Linked DNA regions of Drosophila melanogaster. The protein of the gene in region 1 interacts with the protein of each later gene in a pairwise test. Each region holds a gene or a part of one and is shown in the gene's direction. Other genes may lie near its edges.

What was found.
Region 2: the proteins of IM33 (region 1) and Targ interact in a two-hybrid assay, tested with the Drosophila melanogaster proteins (one large-scale study listed by BioGRID).

What each region holds. Positions count from the first base shown.
Region 1 is NT_033779.5:3,695,577-3,698,578, reverse strand, and holds IM33 (immune induced molecule 33), read left to right. Parts: upstream 1-1,920; 5' UTR 1,921-1,980; coding exon 1,981-2,047; intron 2,048-2,107; coding exon 2,108-2,289; 3' UTR 2,290-2,361; downstream 2,362-3,002. Other genes in the region: CG3604 (uncharacterized protein), read left to right, coding at 808-1,206.
Region 2 is NT_033778.4:14,666,291-14,672,227, forward strand, and holds Targ (tarag), read left to right. Parts: upstream 1-2,100; 5' UTR 2,101-2,125; coding exon 2,126-2,148; intron 2,149-2,157; exon of another isoform or gene 2,158-2,208; coding exon 2,209-2,810; intron 2,811-2,977; coding exon 2,978-3,228; coding exon of another isoform or gene 3,229-3,232; intron 3,233-3,296; coding exon 3,297-3,633; intron 3,634-3,683; coding exon 3,684-4,300; intron 4,301-4,361; coding exon 4,362-4,854; intron 4,855-4,918; coding exon 4,919-5,175; 3' UTR 5,176-5,385; downstream 5,386-5,937. Other genes in the region: CG12860 (uncharacterized protein), read right to left, coding at 1-401.

The sequences.
Region 1 (3,002 bases):
ATGGCGGTCACAAAATACGAGATTGTTTTTAAATTGTAAATGCTAGATGAAATTATTTGTTGATGTATTTTTAAAATAATTACTTGAAATGGGTTTTTGCTAATGCGAAATATATACGTTTAATAATTAACTAATTACAAGTAAGCAGTATATCAAATGTTTATCTATAATTGGAATTAAGAAATTAAGTGCATTATTTTCCACCTATATGCGCAATTTTGAAAATTACCTAATGATTAGAATCGCAAACGAGCGATTATTAGGAACATTTCTTAACCAGACAGTTTATTCATTTCTTCTGAAGCTCCAAAGCTTACCCCATTCGTTAGATACACAAAAAACTTCAACCGACAGTTAACCAGTTTATAGGTAATTCAGTTAGATTCCCATTCCGCTCGCTAAACGTGATTTGGCTGACTAAAATTGTCACACCGATACGGAAGCCACTTGGAATATGATTTTATGGCCAGCATTATGATTGACTTGCGTTGGTGCGTTGATCTGCAATTGAAGGTTGGGCCGCGAAAGCTTCTCCGAGAGCTGTCAGTGCCAGGTGATATCGATATGGACGTGGATATAGACGTCAGAGAGGCACCGCCGTGATTTACATGCGGCGACGAATCAGTTGGACAAACAAGCTGGCGCTCCGATAAATGAAGTACACAAAAAGAGGCAAAACGGTGGGCAAAAACCCAGTTGAGTGAGTATAGTAGTACGTGAGTTAATCAGTTCGGACGGATAGTATTTAAGCCGCAATATCCGAGCGAGCCGAAATCATTCGCTCATCATCCACTCAACGGACTCGAAATGTGCTTTAGATATAGCTTCAGTTTCATAGTATTCGCGGCTGTTCTGCTCCTGGCAGCCGGAATTCGTGCAGCTCCCTCGGATGTCGTCGTGGAGAAGGCGGAGGAGCCCGCGGTGGCCAAACCCCTGCCTGATGCCAGTGAGCTCACTGTTCCGGAGGACTGTCATCAGCCCAAGGAAACCGGTCGCTGTTTCGCTCTGTTCTATCGCTACGCCTACAACGTGGATACACAATCCTGCGAGGAGTTCGTTTACGGTGGATGTGCCGGCAACAAGAACAACTTCGAATCCAAGGAGCAGTGCGAACAGGCATGTTTGGTAAAGTCTGCGGTTTCCTCCACGGACTCAACAACCGAACAAAACAGCGAAGTGGCCACAGAAACTAGCACCTCGTCTTAAAAAATTGTAGTTCTTAGTTTGTAATTTATTTGTCATCCAACTTCATCAGCCTTTTAAAAGCATTTCTTTACTGAGTTGATTATTTGAATAATTTGATTATAAATTTTAATAAATATACCATTGTGATTTATATATCTATTTCGTTTTATTCGCACATCTGGTACTAGCAGTACAGTATGTAGATACATTTGTAAGTGTCAGAAGTGGTTAGCAGTACATCTCGGAAAGTCATTAATTTCGAAACCCGACGGACTCACAAAAACTTGAGTCATGAATAGACGATTTTAATTAATCTTGGGAACTAAACAGTGTAAACAGTAATTTTGATAAAATATGACTACTTTTATAATGCACTTATATCGCAAAGATTCTGAAAACGAAATGTATAAATATATTATACAAGCAAAAGAGGAAATAAATGAAATTTGGGAAAAAATCGGACAAACCCACTTCCGAATGACAAATCGCTGCCTAATCGTGTTTACTTTATTCAGAACGTAGTTCCTAGATTTATTTGCTATTCCGGCATTATTTTCAGTACAAACACTAGCACTAGCACATAGTACTCGAAGTCTCGTCTGTTTATATACCAAATTCACGAGCACTCGTTAATGAACCGAAAGTTCATGAGCATATAGATAAGATCCCCAGCCAATATGTAGTTCCCATCTGCCGATCGGCATGGCGTATATAACCTAGTGCTACACCTCCGATTTCCATTAGTCGTTCCACGGAAGCTGGGAGATATACATAGTTTTCAAAATCGCAATCAGTATGAAATTCATTGCTGCCGTCTGTTTGATGTTCGCCCTGGTGGCTGTGGCCCTCGGCCTCAAGGATCGTAAGTTGGGAGCTGCTCAGGAAATCGAAACCATTCTAATTCACATTCTCAATCTATTAGCTATCTGTGGACTGCCCGCTGGTATTGATGGCAATGGTCTCATCAAGTGTGCCGCTTTTATACCCAGCTTCAGTTATCATCCCGAAACCAATTCGTGTGAAAAGTTCATCTACGGCGGATGCGGCGGCAATGAGAACCGATTTGGAACCCAGGAGCTCTGCGAACAAAAGTGCAAGGAATAAATTTGACCTCTATGCTCTACAAAATATTCAATAAATGATTTTCGATAAATAACTTTTTGGACGATTCTTTATAACTTACCTCATTTTACATCACATAAAGAAAAAAACAAGGTTCGTTTTGATCGCACTATCGGGCAAAGTTTAAGTTGCTGAATTAATTAAGAGACTAGAAAAAAGTACACCCAGAAAAATTGAGAATTAACCTTCGATTTCGAGACGAAAACGATCTGAATGTTGATATTTTCAGACGGAAGGGAAAGGTTGAAAAACTGAGAGAGGAAGGCAAATGAGAGCAAAGTCATTTGCAATCTGAGTATGGTGAGCATTATTCAATCTTAGCTAGATTTTGGGGTCGAAATTGTCAAATCGAGATGGTTGAAAACGGATTTTTCTCTGAGTGTCTTTTTTTTATTATATTATAGTAAAAAGAGGGGTTCCAACGAACAACTGAAACATTTAAGTGGAATTTTTAAACACTTACGAAATGGACCTATCAAATGAAATGAAATATTTTACGGAGCTTTCGCCATGGCCGTTGTAAGTATGACACTTCCCGTTGTTCCTATCGATAAGAGAACATATCCATAATTACAACACTTGTTGAGCTCATTGTATATTTCATATGATACAACAATTATAATGTGATGGGCTTTCCCTTTCAGGCGGCCAGTAAACAAAGTCGTTTCTGGGAAGCCGACGAATGTAAACACAAT
Region 2 (5,937 bases), on another chromosome or scaffold:
ACACCCAGATACTTGGGATGCAGCTCGGAGAGCTCCTTGTCGGTCTTGCACGGTTTTAGCTGCTTGTAGTATTTTGGAGCACGGACAACGGGCGGTTTGCATTCCGGCTTTTTGGCATTCTCGGACTCAAACTTCTTGCACTCCCGCTTATCTTTTTTGTTCTTCGCGCACTTATCACTGACGCCATCCGTATGAGAATGTCTTCGATCCCGGGGGGGCAAACCTACACCCTTGGGTGGGCTCTGCTCGCACTTCCTGGATTTCTTATTGGCGCACCTATCGTCCGAGTGGGCAAAGCGTCGGTCGACCTGTGACAGAGCCAGAAATTGTGACTTCACTAGTCCCTTCACCTCATTAAGAAGCTGCGGGCGAAGTATTGATGAACTTTTGGCCAGAAACATAACTAAACGGAGGTTTTGGATTGGAACCGGTGCTGTGGCAGGTTGAGAGACACGAAATTTTGGTCTGTACAGGCGAACGCTCTGCTTTGATCTGGCTAACACCAAGGTGCTGAACCAATAGTTGGCAAGAAATCTAGTCCAAGGCCGCCATGATGGGATCTATTTTATTTACATTTCAACAGCTACTTCTCTATGGATTCCAGATTTAAGTGTGTAATTCCTCGAATACTGTCGCGAATTGAGCCTTTTCCGGGCCACGGACCAAATGGGTTTTCCTTGTTTGTTCTGCAGTTAATTGCGAATGGATTCGATGCCAGCGAATTTGCAATGTCCAGCTGCCTTGATTTGCAGGCAAATAACAATAAAGAAAAAATAGGCAACGCAACCTTCACTTTACGAATTTTTGCCCCAGCTTGTTTGCAAGTTAAATGCAAACAGAGTGCAGCCAGCCAAACGACAAAGCCCAACAAAAAAAAAAAAAAATAAAACAGAACGAAAAATATACATACAAAGCTGACCCCCTGCGAAAAAAAAAACAACAGAAGTCCACTAGAATAAGTATACGCCGCGTTGGTCGCCGCTCGCTGCTTGCTGTTCTCGGGGCAGTTTTCGCTTTTACGCCGCTATTTTCATTGGAGTCACTGCCGTCCGAGAGTGGCCATGCATGAGGGCTCCCATAAAATTGGGTCAATTGCTGTTAACAATTTGGCAGCGCAATCTTTTGGCCGTTTCGATTTCAAGGCGCTCAGGGGAAAAAAAATCGAAAAATAGGAAAACACAACGTGGGCCATAAAAAACGAGCACGTACGAGCGAACCTTTTGGAAAAAAACAATTTCCGCATAGAGTTGTTGGCCAGGAAAAATAGCCGCTGCAATCGGTGCTCCCCCGCGGGAGAACAGGAAAAATCCAGGGGGGGGGGAAGGTGTAGATGAAGCTGAAGTGGCTGGTCGAAAAGTTTGCTGGCCTTTACGCTAATTAATTAGTGCACTTTGTTTGTAATTCATTTTGCAAAAGCAGGGCTGGCTTAGTTAAAGTTTCCAGGGGCGAGGTTTGTTTCATAAAGCATGGACCGACTGCCTCCAATTCAAGAGCCCGGGCATCACTTTCCATTTAATCAACTGGGGAAACAGTCGACCCCAATACTTCAGCTCTTGTTGCCTTTGAGTGACTGCCAATGAAGTTACTGCCCCTAAAGCTGAGATGCACTTTAGCCGCTCCACTCCAATCGCTCCGCTCTCCGTGCAAAACTCAGACGACTAAGGAATGATTTCATTTACTTACAATCAATGAAATTGCACTGATGCAATTTTGTTTCGGCCCCAAAATAAACAGGCAAGCGGGTGGAACGGAGCTGGGATCGGGTTGTGGCAATAGGGATTCGCCAGGCAAAAGAAGATGGCGATGGCGAGGCGATGGCTAAAAAGTAACAGTTGCAGTGGGGCAATTGCGGAGGAGGAGCAACTGGGGGTCACCAACAAGCAACTACCAACCAACTCCGTTTGTCACGCTCGCCTGGCAGCCATGACAGCATTTGGTAGCCAGGAGCAGCTAATGTCTGGCGACAGTTCCCGAATCCCACGAATCCCCATGAATTCCCGTTCCTGTTGCTGGGGCTTCTCATCTTGCAGCCAGACACGTAGCCAGCCACTGTGCATTGGGTTCGGGTCGAGACGCAGAGAGATTTGTGAAAGATGTCAGGAACACTCTGCGACAGAGTCGAAAAATGAGCAGGAATCGTAGGCGAAGGTGACTGAGTCTGTTCGCCCAGCAAAGCACTCAACTCGACCAAATCCCTCTGTTTTTCAGCTTCCCCAGCAGCCAATATGAAGATAAGACCGCCGCTGCACAGCCAAGTGGAAGTAGCTTGAGATCCCAATCTCTGTCCAGGCTGGACATCTCGGTTCAAAACTCATCCATCTATTACAATGATACGCGAAACACGCGACCACAAATGGTCAGTGTGGCCGTCGGCACAGTTTCAACGGATATCCTGAATGGGCGCACATCATTCTTGTCCCTTAGTCAGTCTCACGGGAGTGAAGTGGATTTGCCTTCGTTCTACGAAAGCTTTAATCCAACTTTTCTTCCCAAGCTGCCTATCAGAAGATTTCCCCATATGCTTGTGGGGGCATCAAATGAGCCTGAGATTTCGAAAAACCAGCCAGCAATTCCACCATCTAGGCCAATTGAGCCAATATCTGAGGTGCCGTTTGTGGAACCGGCCTTTGAGAAAAAATACTCTAGGACCCGTGGATTTAGCAAGGAATTGTCCACACACAGGGATAATGAGAATGAATATATCGAGAGCACAGATGAGGTGTCTCAGATGTTGAGCTTTACTAGCTATACGGATGAATATGATAGGGCAGAACCACTCATTACCAAAACGCAAAAGTTTTATAAAAAGAGTAAGTTATCATAGCGCTGCCTTCCTTTTTACAAAAATGTTTTTTTTTTTATTTTTATTTTATTGTCATGCAATTGAATTTTGTCTAAGCTATTTTTGGCCATTTGCTTGAAATTGAGGAACCTACCAAATGCATTTCTTGTAGCTAAAACTGTAGCCTTCTTACAGGATCCCCCTTGATTCCCAAATACGATTCCGAGGATTCATATGTGGTCCCTAAGGAAACCGATCAACAGGAATCGGGTCTCTCGTTCAATGTAACTACAGTACAGTTGGCCGATACCGCATCGCCGGAATCTTTCAGCGAATACGACGGAAATCGAACGCGCAAGCAATCGTTCGACATGGAAAGTAAAAATTCGAAGGAGTCCTTTGACTTTAGCCGTGGTGGAAGACGACTTGGCTCCGGTATGGTTTTTGTAAGTGAGTGAATAGCATTCTTGTGGTGGTGAATTGAGAAACGAATGACGACTCTTGTCATCCACAGATCTATATGGTGATACCACCGGACGGCGGATTCGGTTGGGTAATCATGGTGCTGTCCTTCCTCGCCCAGCTGATAATCGATGGTTTAATTTTTACCATTGGGGTCTTATTGCCATCCATTGCCCAGGATCTGGATGTCTCCATATCGTCGGTATCGTTTGTGGCCAGTGTCCAGATTGGTTGCTACTTCACTAGCGGAGCGTTTTCTGCTGTCCTGATAAATCGTTTTGGTTTCCGAAAGGTAGCCATCGCTGGGGTCCTGTGTTCCGCAGTTTCAATACTGGCGTCCAGTTGGAGCGTCAGCTTGACCATGCTGATCTTCTTTTACAGCGTCCTTGGTAGGTTGATTCTAGATTGCTGTACGATATTCGATGAATAATAGTACTAGCCTGCGCAGGTGGTATTACGTTGAGCATGATCTGGGCAAGTTCGCAGCTGATTGTTGGCTACTACTTTGAGCGGTACCGTCCGATGGCCAATGGATTTTCCTGCAGCGGTGGCGGTGCGGGCATAGTACTCTTCACGTTCCTCAACAGCTGGCTGGTGCCAATCATCGGATGGAGGAACATGCTGCGGACGCAGGCGGGGCTGATAATGTTGATCCTGTTGATGGTGGTCGCCTATGTGGAGGTGGCTCCCACCCAGGTGGGCATGTACCATTTACCCGGTTCTTCGGATACCAGTTCGGATGAGTATTACGGCAACTTCTACGTGCATGACTATTTACGTCAATCCGCGATGACTGCTAAAAGCCGGAGTATCCTAAGTACATATGAGCCACGCCCAAAAAAGAAAGGATGCGCCAAGTTCTGCCCCTCCTGTTCGAACTGTTGTTGGAGGCGGCGGAAGAAGTCGCAAAATGCTGATGAGCAGAATCTGCTCATCCGCCCGGCGCCCCTGGAGCGGGAGGATCTCTTCTATACGGGTCCTGCCGAATACGAAAAGCCGCACAGCAAGGAGAACGTCGACGGCAAGGAGTTCCTACTAATGGGATCGGATAAGAACGTAAGTGTTGTATTAAGAATAAATTCGCTTCAACTTAAGAACACCACCAACTTTCACTTAGACCCAGCAAGTGAACTATGGCATCAAGAACATTCGTGTGGATGATGAACCCGATAGGATTTCTAGAGTTCATAGGGAACGAAGATGGTCAAACGAGAATCAGAAAAAGCAAAATTCCTGTAGGAATAGCCGGTTTATGCTCACTGTGCTCAAACTATTCGACTACCGCCTGCTGAAACAGTTTGAGTTCAAGATTCTGGTGGCGTCCGCCTTTCTGTTCCCGATGGGCTTTAATATACCCTTTGTTTACTCGTCTGCACGAACCACGATCCCCGTCGAATATGCCCGTATGATCGGCCCCATTATCGGAATTAGTAATCTTGTGATGAGAAACATCCTTGGCATCCTCGCTTACAAAAGGCGTAGTTGGACCCTCGGACTTTGTGGTTGTGGTCTAATTTTCGGTGGTGTTTCCGTTTTGATTAGCGCCTTCTATGGAGAGAACTTGATTTGGTTCCAGTTTCTGTATGGCTTCTCCTATGCTGTAGCGCCTGGTGCGTACATTTACTTACCTTACTTAAGTTTACAATATTACCCTCTCTCATTTCCATGGAATAGCTGTTTATTCCACACTGAGAGGTTTGATATACGTGAAATACCTGGGACTTTCAAAACTGACCAACGCTTTTGGGATTACCTCATTGGCCATGGGAATGGGCGCCTTTATTGGGACTACAATTGCTGGTAAATTGATAGGCATCACGGGAAACTATTCTGCTGCCTTTTGCTTTGCGGGATTATGTCTCATAGTGTCCGGATTTCTGAAGCTTCTGCTGCCCTTGCTTATTAAATGTCGCAACAGGATGGCCCAATGAGGAATTGGACTATTGGAATTGCAATATTTATTGGTTCTCCTGCTTGGAACTTGGGATTGTCTTACAACTAATAGCTTAGGCATTTTTATGACTTTTTTTTACTGGTCCTCGTTCCAAATTCTGAGTAAATGTTTGTATATCCATGTAATTGTTAATTGACCGATGTCATTAACTATTACTTCCTCCTTATTACAGATTTATTTTCAATATAATTTCAATTCAAGTGAGTTCTTTTTGGGGTTGACTTTTATTGCAATCCATTTTAAGTTATTAGTTAGCTTAGTTTACATCTAATATTAGCTTAGTTGCTGAACAACACACTTTGGCTCCACGCTTATAGGTTCAAGTGTGCTGTGTTTGGTTTTTCATTTGGTTTTGTTTCCATTTTTCCTTGTTTGGGTATGCAAATTTTCACGCTTCTTGTTTACTTTGATTTGCTTTCTAAACTTTGTACGTCTACTGTTCAATGTTTTGTTTTTTTTTTCTTCATTTTTTATATTTTATGATGATTTTTTTACATATTATTTAGAGCTAAAGCAACGAAAAAAAAAATATAAATCAATGTGAACACATAAACATAAGAATGTTTGAATCGACATCCGCAGGACGAATGACTCCAATCCTCTGTGTCCTGTGTCTAAATCTTTCTTGTGTTTTTTAATATTGTCAGTAGTCTTCCCCATCGTCGCCTCTAATTTAATCCATTTTTAATTGAAGTCTCTGCCGTCTGCGTTAAAAACAATGTCATTTGATAATGTAAAG